Bombyx mori: one gene and its partners. The protein of the gene in region 3 purifies or fractionates together with the protein of the main gene of each other region. This does not show direct contact. Links are inferred from orthologs where the notes say so. Each region holds a gene or a part of one and is shown on either strand. Other genes may lie near its edges. The genes, in order: putative pre-mRNA-splicing factor ATP-dependent RNA helicase PRP1, COPA, nudC domain-containing protein 1, pre-mRNA-splicing factor ATP-dependent RNA helicase PRP16 and ATP-dependent RNA helicase DHX8.

Region 1 (3,801 bases), on a different chromosome or scaffold from region 3:
CTCGTTATTATGTCAGCCACATTAGATGCTGGAAAGTTCCAGCATTATTTTGACAATGCTCCATTAATGAACATTCCTGGTCGGACTCATCCGGTAGAAATATTTTACACTCCACAACCTGAACGAGATTACCTAGAAGCTGCGATAAGGACTGTAATACAAATCCATATGTGTGAAGAGATCTCTGGTGATATACTACTATTTTTAACTGGACAAGAGGAGATTGAGGATGCTTGTAAGAGAATTAAAAGAGAAATAGACAATCTGGGAACTGATGCAGGAGAGCTAAAGTGCATACCGTTATATTCAACATTGCCGCCAAATTTACAGCAACGGATCTTTGAGCCGGCACCTCCAAATCGACCAAACGGAGCCATCGGCAGGAAGGTGGTAGTGTCCACAAACATCGCTGAAACATCTCTGACTATTGATGGTGTTGTTTTTGTCATTGACCCAGGTTTTGCGAAACAAAAAGTTTATAATCCCCGTATAAGGGTGGAATCGTTATTGGTTTCTCCGATAAGTAAAGCATCAGCCCAACAGAGAGCGGGGAGGGCCGGCAGAACTAGACCTGGGAAGTGCTTCCGGTTATATACTGAGAAAGCATACAAGGATGAAATGCAGGACAATACTTATCCTGAGATTTTGAGGTAATTTTTATAACGGTTTGTATGTGACTACCGTTTCGAATGTAGTGAGTAAATACTGTATTTATTTCTATACTAACAGTTGTAATGTTCAATTATTATTCTTATATAATAACAAGATAAGCTCTGTTTGTCTATATTTTATAGCTTTTCATGTGCATCATTATTTCTGTCTGATTGGGTGTGGTCACTGTCAATTGCTGAGAATCATCACTTTATATTACTGTCAATTGTGTATAAAGTTTACTTGTTGTTTAGTAGTCCAAATAAAAATGTATGTGCTATAAAATCATTAATTGTGACGAATCTTGGATATTTTTTCCAAAATAGGTTTACGTCATAGAAACAACAAGCTAGCTATATAGGCTATATATAGTTTCTAGAATATATTTTCATACAAGTCGGTGTAGTGGGCAGAGCACGACAATGTTTCTCTACTCTAATATAATTTTGAATGGGTTACAATTCGCGGTATAAGAATCAGACCAAACGCATACCCACAAAAAAAAAATTTTTTTTTTCATGAAACTGTTCAAAATATAGTATTTTATGAATTGCCAAAACGACGTAATGGTATAGTTGATATTTAACAAATTCCAAAACAACTAAAAAGCCTAAGAATCACTTTCAATGGAACCAGAAAAATGTATGGAATTTGGTATGAAACGAGAAAAATTGAGAATTTTTTCCTGACTTTATCTGACTCTTACACAGCGAATTACACTAACATAGTTCTAGAAGCTAACACCCTAAATATCTCAGCTATTGAATGGGTGAAGTCTAAGAGTACTGTTACTGTCATGTCAATATGCTAAAATCACACCCCCTTTAAGTTTGTCCTGTTCGGGTAATGAAGTGAGTTGTAATCTAATAATACGACTGCGTTGCCCGTTCCAGATCAAACTTAGGATCTGTAGTTTTGCAGTTGAAGAAGTTGGGCATCGATGACCTGGTGCATTTCGATTTCATGGATCCACCGGCTCCGGAGACACTCATGCGGGCGCTCGAGCTGCTCAACTATCTGGCTGCGCTGGGTGAGCTTGTGCTGTATATTGTTTTTGAAATTACTTTAGAAGCGTTCATGGATTATTGTAACTAGAGTTGCCACGAATAGTGATTTGGCCGAATACCGAATATTCGGCAACGCTGTTGGCGGAAGCGCCGAATATTCGGCACAAAGTACATGCTAGTTAGTCGAGCGCGTAAAGAATAATATGACCGGTTGGGACCTGTCTCCATCGTGTGCGGGCGGTGTCCGGCCATTAGACTGTTTCAGTTGCGAGTAAATCACGTCACGGCACGCTTTGTCAGATCAATATAAATGAAACATTACGATTTTGTAGAAAACTTTTATCGTCAGTTCTTTTTCAATTGTTGTTCATTAAAAAATGACACCAATTAATAAAAAATCGGCCATATGGGAATATTATGAGATTTGTAATGAAAATAATAAACAAAAATCATTATTCGAGTTTTTTGACGAAACATGATTTGAGACCTGCCCTTCATTTTTCGGTATTGGGCCGAATAGTACCTATTATTTGGCCCAATACCGAATACCAAACAAAGTGGCCGAATAGGCCGACTACCGAATATTCGTGGCATGTCTAATTGTAACGTCACTAAAAAAGGCAAAGACAAAACAATCATAATATACCATTTGTCTATTCTTTTTGTGGTTTTTCTTAAGCTTTCGTAAGGATACTGTTAGTAATAAATAAAAGTTGGAAATACTTAGCCTTACTTACTTCATGAAGAAATGACAATAACAAAACAAAAGACAGAAATGTAATGGAATTTTGACCATTCAATGGATTTATAGATGTATGCAGTGAGGACAGACCTATGCAGGCTCTGCATGGCCTGCCATGAATTAAGTTTTTTTGCTTAAATCTGTGGGCGTCTATCACCCACCTGATGTTAAGTGGCTACCAGAGCCCTCAGCCATCAATAACGTAAATTTCGCCATCTACATTGAGACATGAGTTCTGAGTATACGTTTTACAGTACAATGGCTGCCTTCGAACCGGAACACATTACTGCTTCACGGCAGAAATAGTCATGGTCGTGGTATCTACTCGCGTGAGCTCACAAGACGACCTAACACCAGTCGAGACAGATGGGTTATTATTCATGATGTTCATTTGTCATTTGATTCTCCACAGATGATGACGGTAACCTCACTGACCTGGGTGCTGTGATGGCGGAGTTCCCCCTCGACCCACAGCTGGCCAAGATGCTGATAGCCAGCTGCAATCACAACTGTTCCAACGAGATCCTCTCCATCACTGCCATGCTGTCAGGTAGGATGTTCCATATCTGTGCTTACAGATAGCGTGGTCATCGTTCTCGTCGAACCCGTCGCTTGCGACGAAGGGCTCGACGAGTAAATTAACCCACAGACACAGCCCACTGAGTTTCTCGCCGGATCTTCTCAGTGGGTCGCGTTTTCAATCCGGTGGTAGATTCTGCGAAGCACGGCTCTTGCTAGGGTTCGTGTTAGCAACGACGTCAGGTTTGAGCCCCGTGAGCTCACCTACTAGTTAAGGTTACACTGAAATAGCCTCTCAAGGGTCTCAGCTTAGGTAGGAAAAAAAACCCAGATAGTATTTGACTTGCTTTAAGTGATTTCTTGTTGGGTATACGATACTGTCTGTTTATTTAAAGAAAAAATCACAAGCCACACTTCACTAGTTTGTTTTAATAGAAATTAATTTTAATAAATTGTCCAACTCCTGAACTGGGGGTAGCCTCAATATCTACAGACTTTTAACTTGGAGAATATACTGGGCAACTAGGTCAAAATGCTGAAACTACAATATATCGAATAAGGATGATGCGATTACAATTGCAAATAAGACAAGCATCATGTAGCTGAATGCACCATAAGCTCATAGAAATAATTTGTTTGATACGATATTGTATAAGTAATGGTTACATGGCTCATCGATGGAGCATGAGACAAAAAATTGTTGAAGAGTGCGGAGTTGAGTGACCCCTCCCAGCACTGACGCTTCCTCACCACATTTGTCATAAAACTAGGGGCCTGTTTCAAACCCAATGAAGGAAGTTTTAACGATGACATTTGTTCTATGCATCAATGGGAGTCACAAGCTATTGTTTTTGTTAAACGAAGAACGCTTATGACGTCACC
Region 2 (3,801 bases), on a different chromosome or scaffold from region 3:
GGATGGGTAGGTGAGCTCACGGGCTCAACCTGAGAGAATTTGCTAACAAGAGCAAGCAAGGTCCTAGCAAGATCAGTGCTTCGCTGAATTTTTTTATTTTGAAGTGAAAACTTCTTTAGAATCGTTGTGATTTCAAACCGGATGCAACGGAAAAAACGACAGGTAAGAGACACAAATACAAAAATGTGTAGGATGAAGCCAGCAAAGAATGAGATAGAAATATACATACTATTTAATACAGCGCCATCTGTGAGATTTTTTAATACTAACGTGTGTATGAAAGCTCTTGTAGTGAATTTTAATTTAGGATTATACGTGAAATTAAAATATCAATTCATAGAGGGCGCTACCTTACAATTATTTACTAATGACAAAATTTTACATATACTTAAGACGTTTAGGATAATTGTATTTTAATTTTGGAAGGTTTCACTTCTACCACGTGTGAATTGCACACATGTATTTTTATTTTATTTTTTTATTGCCTTTGTAGGCAGACGAGCGTACGGCCCACCTGATGGTAAGTGGTTACCGTCGCCCATGGACTTCAGCAATGCCAGGCGCAGAGCCAAGCCGCTGCCTACAAATAACATAGCTAATTTGAATTACATATTTTCAGGTGAAAGTATCGAAATGTCGTTACGCCATTTGGAATACCGATATGTCAATAGTGGCTCTGTTGGGCAAGCACACGGTCACACTATGCACCAAGAAGCTGGAGCAGCTGTGCTGCATCACCGAAGGGGCCAGAGTCAAGTCCGGCGCCTTCGACGATTCCACACCGCAGCCCGTGTTCATATACACCACGGCAAATCACATCAAGTACTGCTGTAAGGACGGGTGAGTGTCTTCTGGTCAGTAGAATCGCTAGGATGTGCTGGAAGTAGTGGTACATTCCAGTTTGAAGGAACGATTTATCGCCTGTGCTCATGTTTTAAAATCTCTATGGTCTTCGCTAACCACAATGGCGACTGTCAAAGAAAACGATGCAATGTTTTTTTTCTTTCTTAAGCTATTGCATAGCTTTTATCGCGGGCTTTGAGCGCGGCGACTAAATCAAGAAGTTCCGTAACGAAAATAAAACCTAACACCCTCCACTCCGCCTACCATGTAGCTCGCGTCTAACACATTCACACGTTGCGCTTGTGTAGTGTTTGTAAATAAGCGCGCGGCGTGACGTCGCACTGCATGCGCATCATGAAAAGTCTGCCCATCTCTCTCTCGCGCGTGGTCTAGCTTATGAGTTGAAGGGGAGAGTTAATGTTTTGCTTTTGTTAATGTTTATAAATATAGCGTATTCTTATTTTATTATTATTTTTAATATTAAATTATCATTGTTTAATTATAATGGCATAAGTTGATAAAATATGCTATGCCATAGCTTTACCGCGACAGTCCCCGAGTGCCACACGTGTTTTTTTTTTCTACATATTCTATTAACCTCGAGGGGTTATTCTAGATTCACCGAACTATTAGGTGAGCTCACGCGGCTCAAACCGGAGTACTGCTAACACTGGCTCTACCAAGAGCAGTGCTTCACAGAATCTACCACCGAATCAGAAACGCGACCCACTGAGAAGATCTGACGAGAAACTCAGTGGGCTGTGTCTATGGGTTAATTTACTAGTCGATGGGTTCGACGAGGACGGTGACCGGTGCTTGAGGTACCTAAAAGCACCGTTAATGGATCGGGAGGGTCCGTAATGACGTGAGTTTTTGTTGTTGTTTTTCCCACAGCGATTACGGCATCATCCGCACTCTGGACGTGCCCGTGTACGCGGTGCGCGTGCTGTCGACGGAGACGGGCGCGCGCGTGGTGTGCTTGGACCGAGAATGCAGGCCCAAAGTACTCAACATCGACCCCACGGAATACAGGCTAGTTTTAAAATAACTATATTCAGATTAATTATTAACACATAACGTTCATCATCTGACCTCAAATTAAGATCCCCTCTACCATCATTCATGATAATCGGTTGCTCTTGGCAGAGCAGTCGTGGTCATGTGGAATTCTTGCTTATATGCCTTGATAGATGTTTTTCATAGTTTGCGAATCGAGACCCGGCGCACTCACGCGTTAAGTGGGGTTTCAGTAAGGTCTTCCACCTGATCAGTCCAACGCATGGGGATTCTTCCACGAGATCTCTTCCTTTCCAGTGAGTTTCGCTCAGTCCACATACGGCTATTCCACACCTAACGAGTTCCTTTTCTATCATTATTAGTTTACCCGGTTGCAGCAAGCCACGGACATTCCAGTTACCTATTTTTATGATGTTTTTAAGCATAGATACAGGTTTTCCAGTAGCATTATTTCCATGCAACGCCTGGTCGCTTACATTGACATGGCCGGTAACCCATTTCACACTGTTTGTCCCGGACACAAGACGGCGCCGATTGCCAAGCGGCTACCTCGGCTTACATTTTTTCGTATTCTTCCTATTCATGACTTTCTTGGGAATATAGTGCAGTGGTTTCTCGTGAAAATAAATAAATAAATAAAATAAAATCCCTTCTATAGACCTTTATATTTTATATTAACAATTTTTTTACCATGTATGTATTATACGCGTATACATCATACGTGTATACATCCCACAAACATTTTCCCGATGTAGGCGGAAAACACGTTCATTTATAATATAAAACCACACCCTGTATCGCTCCATTAATTGATAAGGAGGTTTAAGATAAGGATTTAAGTAAGCTGTGAGATGAGATTGATTGAATGAGAATTTTAGATTATAACAAAATAAACTGGTCATTTGAACTGGTCCAATGATCGGTGTTCTTTAGAATTCAGGCTTTATCTCATACGTGTGTGTACTCTGAAAATAAAAAGATTAAAGTCTTAGCTTTGTACTATTGGATGTGGACTTTTGGCTCGGTAGATAGATTTAAGTGATCAAGTTAAAAAATCACCCTGTATATGTTCAATAGAGAGAGAATACACTTTATTTCACACCAAAACACAATTTACATTAAAGAAAACAGTCAAAAAGCAGATACATTTGTATAATAGGCGGTCTTATCGCTAAAAGCGATCTCTTCCAGACTACCGTTTAATTTACAGAAATTCTGCAAAATATAAAAATATAGCAGGTATGTTGCGATGTACCATAGACAATACATTATTATAGAAAATATTTACATATAGATAAACAGATATATACCAATATACATACTTACATACAATACATTATATAGGTTATGAACAAAATAATTTTTTTGGTTTTAGATTCAAATTAGCTCTAGTGACGCGCCAATACGATCAGGTGTTGCACATGGTGCGGACGGCTAAACTTGTCGGGCAGAGCATCATCGCCTACTTGCAGGAGAAGGGTGCGTTGTGGTTTATGATTTTTTTTTTATTGCGTACTGGGTGACTTGAGATTTGAGTTCTAAGCTCTCAGTATAATGGAGCAGCCCCACACTTTAAACCAAAACGCATTACTGCTTCACGGCAGAAAATAGGCAGGATGGTGGTACCTACCCGTGCGGACTCACAAGAGGTCCTACCACCAATAATTATAATTTTGCGGGTTTGATTTTTATTACACGATGTTATTCCTTCACCGTGGAAGTCAATCGTGAACATTCGTTGAGTACGTATTTCATTAGAAAAATTGGTATCCATACCGGACGTATCCTTTAGGCCACGGCGACTTTAAAATTGTACCTGGATAACTTATGACAGGCAGGAGATCCTTCCCGGTGGCAGGCCTTATGACAGGCAGGATTATTAGGCTAAACTCGCCTCACGCGGCCCAAATAGTGCCAAGCCGTTACTGAACTCCATAGACG
Region 3 (4,243 bases):
ACCACCCCACCTATTTCTGCCGTGAAGCAGTAATGCGTTTCGGTTTGAAGGGTGGGGTAGCCGTTATAACTATACTGAGACCTTAGAACGCCTTTACGCCCTTAGCGCGACCTTAGGTGGCGCATTTACATTGTAGATGTCTATGGGCTCCAGTAACCACTTAACACCAGGTGGGCTGTGAGCTCGTCTAGCCATCTAAGCAATAAAAAAAAAAAATTGTTCAGATAACTGTGTCATTCATTAACTTGATTTTCCTTAAAATTATGGAAACAGATGGCAATAATAATACATACTATATCAATGAAACATATTTTTATTGCACTTCAATAGCCACTAATGTTTTCTCTGTCAATATAAATAAATACTCATTTGTAGCATTAATTCCTAAAACTTCTCCATATTTGTCAATGTTGAATAAATTTTGTTGTCCCACTTTTATGGCTTTCATCATTCCTCCTGTACGTTTTCTCAGTTGTGAATCTTGGTTACCAGTACTTCGATAAATGAATATATGTCTCTCAGATTCACATACAACACTGTATGAGAAGTTAGGAGGACATGTAACAAATTTTCTATTTTGTTTTGAAGACTGAACATAACCAAATGCAGATAATGTCCCTTGATGGGTCACAGGCCAGGTTTCTGTGTTTACTAGTAAAGAGTATGGTTGCCATATGCAAGCATCTACATCTTGTCTTAAGGCTAATGCTGGGACTTCTTGAGTTTCCAATCTTACACTGAAGAGGTATTGGTGAACACTTAATGGTATCCGATGTGTGATTTCATGATTAGTAGCATCAAGCCTTACTGTAATAAAATAATAATACAATTTTTTAAATTAGTTGTTTTGTAGAAATTGTAAGTTTACTGGTGGTAGGAAGTATTGTGAGTCCGCACGGGTAGGTAGCCACCTGCCTATTTCTGGTGTGAAGCAGTAATACATTTTGGTTTGATGATTGGGGCAGCCATTATATTGTAAAAACGGAGACTTTAGAACTCATAGCTCAAGGTAGGTCATTTACGTTGTAGATGTCTATGGGCTCTAGTAACCACTTAACACCAGGTGGGCTGAGTACGGGTGAGTAAATTGACATATTGTTAAAGTAGAAAAATTGACATATTGTGGTCAACCTATTGTACGGGTTTGGGACTACCACCCTACAATCATTGAGTTTTGATTTCAAGCATTTTAATACAAGTGAGACTTTAACCTCAGTTTCCATATAGAAGCCCATATGGGCTACTGTCAAATATCAAAAACATGTAGGAGATGAGCCCGTTTGTCAATAAGAAATAATGTGATTTATTTTCATACCTAACACAGTGTCTTCTTCAGAAGCAGCATCACACTCTTCTAGTTCTTGTGTTGAGAACCCTGGCACTGACTGTTCACTGGTAGCTTCTGTTTCAGAACATAAATGTGCTAGTCTTTGGTGTGCTTCTTCTACTAAATTTGCGTCTACTATCTGTTCACCATTGGGATCCCCTCCTTCAATTAATTCATCCCATAACATACTATCAGATTTTGTAATTAGAATATCAACTTTACCATCTTCCTGAACATTCCATGTAGTCAAATTACTGTCCACGTTGTGCTTTAGTTTTCCCTCCACAAATGTCTTTCCAGCATAACTCACTTTGATGGTAATTGGTGAAACTAACACATGGAAATGTTTCTTATTGTATTTTTCTTCTAATTTTAACGTGACTGTTACATCCTCTGATGTCTGAAGCCATGTGTAAATAATTTTTCTCGATTCCATCCTTTGATTTTTCTGAGTAATCTCTGTTTCAGAATCCATGGTAAATTTAAAGATATTGTCCGATGCAACATACAAAGCACTGCAGCTGGTTTCTATGGCGGCATAGTGCACTATACCCTTTCCTTGTACTTGTCTGAAACTCATCTGCTTCCAAGACTCTCCATCATTATCAAAGGACACCCAAGTAAGAACAGACTCAAAATGTTTTTCATTTTGTTGAACTGATTGAAGTAAGCAATGCAAAGTTTCAGTATTTTTCTTCTCTTGTATTCGTGCATCAACAATAACAAAGTACTTGTTCTCTCCGAGTATTAAGCTGGATTGTAGGGTATGCCAGAGTTGATTCCTACCAGCAGACCTATTTCTTGGTCCTGTGTCGACTATGTGTAACATTCCTGTACCATCACTGACTACTGCTAAATTACTTGCAGGAAATGTCAGTGAAGGGTTGAAATGACCTGGTTTCCTTTCAATGTGGGCTGGGATATCATAAACAATATTATTTTGGAATGTGTGATTTATATTTTCAAAGGTAACATGTCTTACTTGCTGGTTTTTGTCAATGTAATAATAGTTGAACGAATAATCCCAATAATCAAGGACTAGATGGTTATGTAGTGCAAAAAGTTTTGCGTGAACGAAAGAGTACTGGACATCGTCGGGATAAACTTTATCCACGGGAGAAGCTAGCTCTAAGCTATAGTGGGGTAGGGCTTGTAAGTTTAATTTGTATCCTTCGAAGTCTAATTCCAGTAGACGTCTGTTTGGTCGTAATTCTACGAGGGAAGATGACATTTTGAAGTTTTCGATTATTTTCTATTTAAACTAACCTAACAATGCTTAAAAGTATTCTCAATTTTCACAAATAGGTATGTACCTATGTAATGTACATAATTTATAATAAAGTTCCACTTTTCAGTATCTACCTCTACTTCCTACTTTTCATAAAAATGAGCATAGAATAAACACTTTTTAATGAGTAGTCAGTAGTAGTATATTTTATTTTTCCAAACGGAAAGGCAACGGTATCGTACTATACAACTGATACAACGTAATATTTTATATATATTTTTTTTATGTTTATTTTATGAAATGAAATGAAATGAACTTGATTAATATGAAACATGGCATGAAATGAAATAAAATGAAATGAGCTTTATTCTTACAAAAAAAGGTAGCCATTAATTTTCGAAGTTAATATTACGAGTAATGCGATACTACATAAATAAAAAATAAATAAAATTCTTAATGTGTTTAATTCTATGGTAAGCTGCATGTTGTAAATATTCTATGTTTAATCATACAACAGTGTAAAATGTAAATAAATTATATTGTTATTATATTGATATTGTGTATTAATATATATATATAGGCCCTGGCAGTAACAAACTGACCTGACCATTGTAAATATTCCAATACAAAGGACGGTGACGCCGCGGCGGAGGAAGAAAGGCGGAAACGCGAGGAGTGAAGTTGTGAGATTTATTTTATTTTGTCTATTTAGTGTTTCTTCAGGTTTAAATGTGTAATAACGATGGTTTATTAACTGTTTAATATCTGTGTAAGTGCACAAATGTGGGAAAATGAAACAAAGCCGCTGATATCATCTCGGGATCCTCCAAAAAGTCCACTGAAAAAATCTCAGTAAATGACCACCATTTTACTGAGATTATATTTCATCTTCAAACGTAGTGTAGGACGCCCTCCTTCTAGATGAAGTGACGACCTGCGCAAGGCAGCTGGCAATGACTGGAAGCGTAGAACCGAAGATCGGGTTCAGTGGCGCCATGGCGTGCTTTGGGAGAGGCCTATGTCCAGTAGTGGACTGCCGCAGGCTGATGATGATATTTCATTTTATTCCTTATTATCATTTTTCATAAAATAATGAATATAAATTATAAATTAACTAGCGACCCGCCCTCGCTTCGCTTCGGAAACTGTAATTTATTATTGATTTCTCCATTATTTAATGGATATATAAACATATAAACCTTATATATAAACCTATATATAAACCTTCCTCTTCAATCAAACCTTCAATCACTCTATCTATTAAAAAAAACCGCATCAGAATCCGTTGCGTAGTTTTAAGGATTTAAGTATACAAATACATAGGGATATAGGGACAGAGAAAGCGACTTTGTTTTAAACTATGTAGTGATGATATAAGACTTGACCTAAAGGTGTTCGTTACCAGGTCATAAAATCCCTTAAAAAATTGCCATAAAATCTTCAAAATCCAAAAAACTGTCAACATAACATAACCCACATTATTTATTATTTTGGAATATTTGGATGACCACAGAATTTTACAATAAATTGCGAAATAAAAATGCCATTTGTTAAAAATACCAATTATCGCGACATGCATTTTGAAGACGTATCTTCGGTAATTCTGCATGGAACGTGAAGCCAGGTTCAACTAAGTTCAAATAATTTAAAAAATATACAATATGTTTTAGACTGATTTTTATACATAC
Region 4 (3,801 bases), on a different chromosome or scaffold from region 3:
CGTTCGGTGGCTTTGTTTAATTTTCCCACATTTATGCACTTTCACAGATAATAAACAGTTAATAAACCACAGTTACTACACATTTAAACCTGAAGAAACACTAACTAGACAAAATAAAACAAATCACACAATTTCACTCCTCGCGTTCCCGTCAAAAAGTCTCGTGGTCATATTCAGAGGTTTATGTTAAACAGAGAATCAAATGAGTATTTTAAAAAAAGAACGTAAAGTACAGATTATATTTATTTTTGTCACAGACTATAACAGAAAACTAACAGGGAAACATAAAAAGTCTGTACAATAAGTTCTGTGTCCTGTGTTCCAGGAGAGCGTTGACCGCGTCCACCTGCTGGTGCACAACATCGTGCCTCCATTCCTCGACGGAAGAATCATATTCACGAAGCAGCCGGAGCCCGTGATACCGGTACGTGTGCATAAACTTCACGTAAAGTTACTGTCTGTATTGCTGTCGGTACATCTGGTGTGATATGGTCACCAGAGTCCTTGGTCACGTGAAGTCGAAGTCTCGTAGCATTGTGTATCCATTGCCCCCCTTTCAAAACGGAACACGGGACTGCTTCACGCGTGGGTCACCGTTCTGCTTACTCGCGCCGCGAAATAAATATGCATCTTAACCCATGCATCAGCCCGCTGAGTTTCTCGCCGGATCTTCTCAGCGGGTCGCGATTCCGATCCGGTAGTAGATTCATTCGCGAAGCAATTGCTCTTGAGTTGTTAGATCTCCTTCGGACGCGCTCGGGCTGCTGTTAGCAAATCCCACCCCTCCTGACCGAGCCCTTGCTTGCCCACCTGTCCTAGTGAAACTGGAAAGGCCTCCGGGCCACCAGTAATCCTTCAATCATAAAAAAATGCAGTTTCGTTTGTATGCACAGATTTTTTAAATATCGATTCTTTAACCTCATTAGTAAGCACGGCTGACATAATTTATGGTTTAAAGTCGAGGGACTCCGGTATTCACTTTATTATTGTCCAGGAAGGCAGTCCAGCCTTACGCCTTACCTAATGGTGAGTGGTCATCGTCGCTCATCGACATGAGCAATGCCACTATTGTAAAAAATATATAAATATATATGTATAAGTAAATAAGATTTTATTTATTTATTTAGTTGCACCAACAAAGTGATTATCAATACAAGACATTGATAAATTGACAAAAGTACATGGCAGATGTCACCTCAATTATACAGACCGTTCAGCATAAGATGTCCCCTGCCTTGAGAGTTGGTAGCATTGCTAACGGTGTTGCAAACAATATATGTACCTTTTACTCCCTATTATCTTGTGTGTAATGTAAAATTATTGTTTTGGCTTCTGTTGCTCTAATAAAGACCCCCTATATTAGTTTTTCTTCAATATCTTCAAAGCACAGATATCGACCTGACTTATTTTTATTATATGTCTAGATAATATATAGCTAACAGACTAGGAAGTTTGTAAATTATAACACAATTTAAATTTTAAATTATTTATTTATTTCATTTTTACTGACAGTAATTATGGTCGAAAGAAACGATTCCAGACTGTCACTTGCATAAGCGTCGTCTGACGTATCCGAATCTGTACTGCTGTCGTTTCTTAGTTCAATTATGAATTTATCCGTAATATTATCCATGCAGCCATCACGTTCATAAAATTTGTCTTCTAAATGTTTTACGTGTTCACGCTGTTTTTGCCAATCCTGAGGAGTTATCGATGAAAAAGCTTCTTCAGTTAACTTCACGATATTACCAGCTTCTTGGCCGACATTATTGCTAGCTACTCGAGATTTGAGTTTTTGAGACGTAGAGGCAGCAACTTCACCTTCTTTAGTTATTCTACTCATAGTTTTCTCAGACATGCCTGAAATAAAGACATAAAATTTGTATCCTTTTATAAAATTTAATATTTATATAAACTCAAGTAATGACCATATTATCGAAATAAATTAAACTCACTGAGATGTGTACTTTTTTATTTTAATTCTATATGTCAGTAAATTCTTATTACCCATACTAAAGGCATTGTGTCTGAAGCTTGTATCCCCATTTTACTAACCTGTCATTGCGGCGACTCGTGCTCGCACTTGATCGAGTCTAATTAACGGGGCTTGGTTTGCCTTTTCTCTCTCACAAAAGGCATGAACCTTCAACACAATCTCTCTTGCACTGTTTTTAAATGGCTTTGGCATGAATAATTTGAAGGTTATTAAATATTAACACAAAAACTAACGGCACACGTCACAACAGACAATCTGACAACAACAGATTGACAAAAATTACAAGTAATAGTGCCAACATCACGGCAGGGGACAACTTACGGTGAACGATCTGTAGGTGCAACGACAGTGAATTGACAACAAAAATAAAATAAAATATATACCTAAAACTTGATTACATCTGATTACTTATGATTAATTTATATTTAATCGATTAATTTATAGTTTTAGTTTCGTGATATCGATTAGAAAGTTTGTTTAATAATATTTTAAAAAACTTTTTAGGTAAAAGATCCTACGTCGGATATGGCGGTAAACGCACGAAAAGGCTCGGCCTTAGTGAAAGCATTCCGAGAACAAAAGGAGAGACGGAAAGCTCAGAAGAAACATTGGAAATTAGAGGGAACCAAACTAGGTAAATGATACCCGCCAATATTCTCTTCGCCGGCTTTACTAGACACATTAAAATTATAACGTCTCTTTTTTAATACAGGCAACATCATGGGAATACAGAGGGAAAAAGAAGAACTCGAAGATGGCCCTACAAGAGAAGCGTACAAATACGCGGAGCATTTAGATAAAGGTATGTACGTGAAGCGCGCTGTGTGCATTTCATTTTCGTTACGAAGTAATTTTCAATCTACTTCCTTTTTTCAATCTGGCAATATGCGTTTGCAACGCCAATGTTACCACCAACCAATATTAATGAATTTATAAAAACCATTAATTATTAGAACCATAAATATTCCGTCTTACATGATAAAATGATGATGAATGAAGTTAAGTTGATTTATTTTAATAGATTTTTTAATCTATTGACATGAAATGAAACGAGATTACCCTAATGTCCCAGTGTAGATGTTTTGAAGGAAAGTGCGAAGCCATATCCAGTGATTTTGTATCATTTTTCGCTACGTACACAGACGCTAAACTGCTAATAAATCACTATTAGTTACTAGCAGAAGCATTATAATAAAATTAACACTAAACATAATAACGTATCGAATGACCCATTTTGAACTTTTGCAATGAAAATGCACGTATCATCTTCATGACTTATTCTTACCAATTAATCTACAGTTATTATACTACTTTTGAAGTGAAAACTTCTTTAGAATCGTTGTGATTTCAAACCGGATGCAACGGAAAAAACGACAGGTAAGAGACACAAATACAAAAATGTGTAGGATGAAGCCAGCAAAGAATGAGACAGAAATATACATACTATTTAATACAGCGCCATCTGTGAGATTTTTCAATACTAACGTGTGTATGAAAGCTCTTGTAGTGAATTTTAATTTAGGATTATACGTGAAATTAAAATATCAATTCACAGAGGGCGCTACCTTACAATTATTTACTAATGACAAAATTTTACATATACTTAAGACGTTTAGGATAATTGTATTTTAATTTTGGAAGGTTTCACTTCTACCACGTGTGAATTGCACACATTTTGTTTTTTTGTTTTTGTTTTGTTTTGTGTATTTTGAGTAATACTTGTCGTATACCGTTATCTACCCGCTATGGTAGAAATAGGTACCAGTAAGGGTTAGTATGATTAGTGTTAACAAACGAAACATTTA
Region 5 (3,801 bases), on a different chromosome or scaffold from region 3:
GCGGGGGCGTTAATCATGAGAATCTTTGTGGGGGTGAGAAATAATAATGTTAATTTTAAATGCCCAGGGAAGTGGACGGGTACAGCTAGTCACTTTATCATTTTAATTCAGACACGAATCATCTGTGTATTCTTATGATTATGAAATTTAGGTGACAGATTAATTTGGTCACGGATTTATAGAAACGGGGTATCACCTGCGATATAGGAGTTACAACCAACGAATCCATTCCAGTCTTCGAGTTGTAGACTTTCTGTTTAACGAAGCCAGGGTCCACCACGTAGTATATACCGTCGATGGTCAGCGACGTCTCCGCGATGTTGGTGGCGATCACCACCTTCCTGGAGCCGGGGGGCGCCGGCTCGAAGATCCGGGTCTGCATCTCGGACGGCAGCGCAGAGTACACCGGCAGAATTATCAGCTCCGGCACGTCCGGCCCCAAGGACTTCATTCTCTCGTACAATATCTCACACGCCGTGTCAATCTCTTCTTGGCCAGTGAGGAACAGCAGGATATCCCCCGGGGGCTCCCTCAGGTGGATCTGCATGACCGTGATCAGTGAGGCGTCCAAATAGTCCGTCTCCGGTTCCTTGGTGTACAAGACTTCGACGGGGAAGGTTCGACCGGGGATGGTGAAGATCGGGGCCTCGAAGAAGTACTGCGAGAACTTGACGGCGTCGAGCGTGGCGGACGTGACGATGAGCTTGAGTTCGGGGCGCTTCTGCACGGCCTGCTTCAGCAGACCGAACAGCACGTCGGTGTGGATGGTGCGCTCGTGCGCCTCGTCCAGCATGATCACCGAGTACGCCTTCAGGTCCAGGTCCATGAGGCACTCGCGGAGCAGCATGCCGTCCGTCATGTATCTGAAATTATTAGTCGGCTTAACGTTGGTAACTTTTTGTCGTACATCCTGGTAACTCGATAGTAGTAGTTACTAAGCTTACATTCAGTAGATCGATGAGCTTGTTGACATACGCAATACATATGACAACACTATGGGTGGACGAGCTCACAGCCCAGCTGGTGTTAAGTGGTTACTGGAGCCCATAGACATTTACAACGTCAATGCGCCACCCACCTTGAGATATAAGTTCTAAGATCTCAGTGTAGTTATAACGGCTGCCCCACCCTTCAATCCGAAACGCATTACTGCTTCACGGCAGAAATAGGCAGGGCGGTGGTACCTACTCGTGCGGACTCACAAGTGGTCCTACCACCAGTAAAAAACTCACTTTAATATACACAATCATATACCAAAGGTAACCGGTAGGCAGCGGCTTGGCTGTGCCCCTGGCATTGCTGAAGTCCATGGGCGACGGTAACCACTCACCATCAGTATAGTTTAGAGTAAAGTTGTCAGACCTGAAAATTTTACTGTTAATTTTAAAATGTTAGACAAAGTATCTGGACAGTGCAGTTCCACTAACTTGATGACAGTGTCCGGGCTGGTGCAGTCCTCGAAGCGTATGGTGTAGCCCACCTCCTGGCCCAGCCGGCAGCCGAACTCCTCGGCAACGCGCTTGGCGACGGACATGGCGGCCACGCGGCGCGGCTGCGTGCACGCCACCTTGCCGCGCGCCGCCAGCCCGCACTCGCACACGTACTGCGTTATCTGCGTCGTCTTGCCCGACCCCGTCTCGCCGATCACGATCAGGATCTGGTTGTCGGACACGGCCTGGAACACAGAGTCAACGGTAGGCCTTCAGACCGGAACTAGAAGATTGCACAGAGTGGGAATGAGTTGCTCGCTCCGGGCATTTAATATTGCAATAATTTTTACGTTATAATACTCATTGTAAAAATTAATATTTAAAAAAAACTATTATATAGAAAAAAAGACATGCCCGCTGAGTTTCTTGCCAGTTCTTCTCAGGGCGGAGGCTAGTTTTTGTGAATTGGCGGTAGTTCTTTTGACGTTCAATAAGTATGTACTTTCATTTATGTTGAATATTTTTTATTTTATTTGATTTGATTTGATTTGAACGCGCGATGGCTGTACGTATAAATTCTTACTGTTAATTAAGCTCCGATTATAAAAATGGCTATATAAAATATATGATTGATATATGATAAAATATATAAAAGATATGATTGCTCCAACAGTCCGTAACTGCGCACACTACGTACCTTAGTTAGTTCATCTCTAAGCTTGTATATGGGCAGCGACTGTCTCTGCTCGAGCAGGGATAAATTCGTTTTCTTTCCAAATGAGGATTTTTTTCCACCGATGACGTGTTTCTTCCATTCTGGCAAGTCTTGAGGGACCACGCCCGCGCCTCGCATGTTGGCCGCTAACGTTCGACCCTCGGACTCAGGTAGCGGATCTATCCAATTTTTATTTAGACCTAGAAATAAATGAACATAAATTGAACATTCTTGACTACAATTGACCGCCTAATTCTGCCGTGAAGCTGTAATGCGTTTCGGTTTGAAGGGTGGGGCAGCCGTTGTAACTATACTGAGACCTTAGAACTTATATCTCAAGGTGGGTGGCGCATTTACGTTGTGGATGTCTATAGACTCCAGTAACCACTTAACACCAGGTGAGCTGTGAGCGCGTCCACCAATCTAAGCAATAAAAACAATATTAAGTTATAAATCGAATTATAGTTTAATTACGACTGAAACTTAGATCACAACTTGTAAATTCCATTTACTATGAGAGATATAAACGTTAATTAGATAAAATACCAGTAGGTACGCTGTCCATTTCCTGCTCCCGTTGGATCATCTTCTGCTCTCTCCTCTCTTTGGCCAATGCGGACTGCATCATGGCTGCTTGTGCAAGGGAGCCATCGGGATTCTTAACTATCCTTACTGGAGAAAGATCGTGAAGGGCTCTGCCATGACCTTGGAGGAAAGGAGGTTCTTCTTCTACTAGCTCTATTTCAATGTCTGCCTCGCCATCTTCATCTTTTGGAAGTAAACCAGTCTCCTCATCAAAATCTGGTAATTCACTCTTATCAATTACGCCTGATGAAATCATCTGTAAATGAATTTTTCGTTACTCTTTTATATGGACTATAGTAATAATATTTATATATATAAAAAACAGGAAAAAATTGGTATTTAAATTTGAAGTCCGAAAAGTTTACAGAGCTATAAAGCAAGAAAACTGTCTATGCTTTTTTTAACAATGTTTCTATTATGTAAAATTTAAATTGTTTAAATGTAAATCATTTTATTTGTTACATATTTTTTGCTCTGTGGTGAGCAACTAAAATAATTTTTATTTTTTATTTTTAAAGCACACAAAAAGTTTTAAGAAAAAAAGAGTCCCTAAATAAATATTTGTGACTTCCATCAAGATTGCTTCATATTATTATTACATACATGCATAAAATATTATTAGTTTGTTGTATTGGTAATAAAAAAGCAATGTACTGTATTAGTACTACTGTAAAAAATATATTTTAAGATAACATTAATCTTTCTCAATGACATGCTCTCAATGCTTTCTGCAATTGAACAACATTTTGAAAACAAACTGCCTGAGAACCCTACTTCACATTTACCTGTTTGATCTCCCATCTCTCAGGACTGGATATCCTTGTCACCCTCTTCCTACTAGAATCCTCATCAGGGTCTATTCCACCTTGGAGTCCGGCTAACACAGTTGCTGCTGGTGGAGGGCGATCAGGGTTTCGGCCTTCACGTTCTGCTTCCAGGTGAGCATGGGATGCTGGATTGAGATCCTTCCCGGTCTCTTGACAAACATCCTTCATTGTGAGAGAAACTTTCTGTCCTGTTATTGAGATTACTTTGACCTGTAAATGTGAAATTTTTGTTTCTGTATATATG

The links.
Region 1: the proteins of nudC domain-containing protein 1 (region 3) and putative pre-mRNA-splicing factor ATP-dependent RNA helicase PRP1 purify together in Homo sapiens (co-immunoprecipitation; 3 studies listed by BioGRID and IntAct, with this or other methods). This does not show direct contact. The link is inferred for Bombyx mori from reciprocal best matches to the Homo sapiens genes NUDCD1 and DHX15.
Region 2: the proteins of nudC domain-containing protein 1 (region 3) and COPA purify together in Homo sapiens (co-immunoprecipitation; 3 studies listed by BioGRID and IntAct, with this or other methods). This does not show direct contact. The link is inferred for Bombyx mori from reciprocal best matches to the Homo sapiens genes NUDCD1 and COPA.
Region 4: the proteins of nudC domain-containing protein 1 (region 3) and pre-mRNA-splicing factor ATP-dependent RNA helicase PRP16 purify together in Homo sapiens (co-immunoprecipitation; 3 studies listed by BioGRID and IntAct, with this or other methods). This does not show direct contact. The link is inferred for Bombyx mori from reciprocal best matches to the Homo sapiens genes NUDCD1 and DHX38.
Region 5: the proteins of nudC domain-containing protein 1 (region 3) and ATP-dependent RNA helicase DHX8 purify together in Homo sapiens (affinity purification with mass spectrometry; 3 studies listed by BioGRID and IntAct, counting the BioPlex papers as one, with this or other methods). This does not show direct contact. The link is inferred for Bombyx mori from reciprocal best matches to the Homo sapiens genes NUDCD1 and DHX8.

The regions. Positions count from the first base shown.
Region 1 is NC_085130.1:9,705,886-9,709,686, forward strand, and holds part of putative pre-mRNA-splicing factor ATP-dependent RNA helicase PRP1, read left to right. Parts: coding exon 1-650; intron 651-1,544; coding exon 1,545-1,681; intron 1,682-2,812; coding exon 2,813-2,950; intron 2,951-3,801.
Region 2 is NC_085132.1:3,498,773-3,502,573, reverse strand, and holds part of COPA (coatomer protein complex subunit alpha), read left to right. Parts: intron 1-619; coding exon 620-840; intron 841-1,737; coding exon 1,738-1,875; intron 1,876-3,235; coding exon 3,236-3,339; intron 3,340-3,801. UniProt on the Homo sapiens protein: The coatomer is a cytosolic protein complex that binds to dilysine motifs and reversibly associates with Golgi non-clathrin-coated vesicles, which further mediate biosynthetic protein transport from the ER, via the Golgi up to the trans Golgi network.
Region 3 is NC_085121.1:551,958-556,200, forward strand, and holds nudC domain-containing protein 1, read right to left. Parts: upstream 2,809-4,243; 5' UTR 2,559-2,808; coding exon 1,316-2,558; intron 808-1,315; coding exon 314-807; 3' UTR 298-313; downstream 1-297. Other genes in the region: uncharacterized protein LOC101739462, read left to right, coding at 4,096-4,152, 4,226-4,243.
Region 4 is NC_085117.1:18,329,577-18,333,377, forward strand, and holds part of pre-mRNA-splicing factor ATP-dependent RNA helicase PRP16, read left to right. Parts: intron 1-325; coding exon 326-424; intron 425-1,470; exon of another isoform or gene 1,471-1,483; coding exon of another isoform or gene 1,484-1,860; intron 1,861-2,055; coding exon of another isoform or gene 2,056-2,188; exon of another isoform or gene 2,189-2,500; coding exon 2,501-2,630; intron 2,631-2,708; coding exon 2,709-2,798; intron 2,799-3,801. Other genes in the region: uncharacterized protein LOC105842458, read right to left, coding at 1,484-1,860, 2,056-2,188. UniProt on the Homo sapiens protein: Probable ATP-binding RNA helicase. Involved in pre-mRNA splicing as component of the spliceosome.
Region 5 is NC_085116.1:15,844,025-15,847,825, forward strand, and holds part of ATP-dependent RNA helicase DHX8, read right to left. Parts: intron 3,768-3,801; coding exon 3,516-3,767; intron 2,987-3,515; coding exon 2,692-2,986; intron 2,346-2,691; coding exon 2,128-2,345; intron 1,676-2,127; coding exon 1,428-1,675; intron 864-1,427; coding exon 197-863; intron 1-196.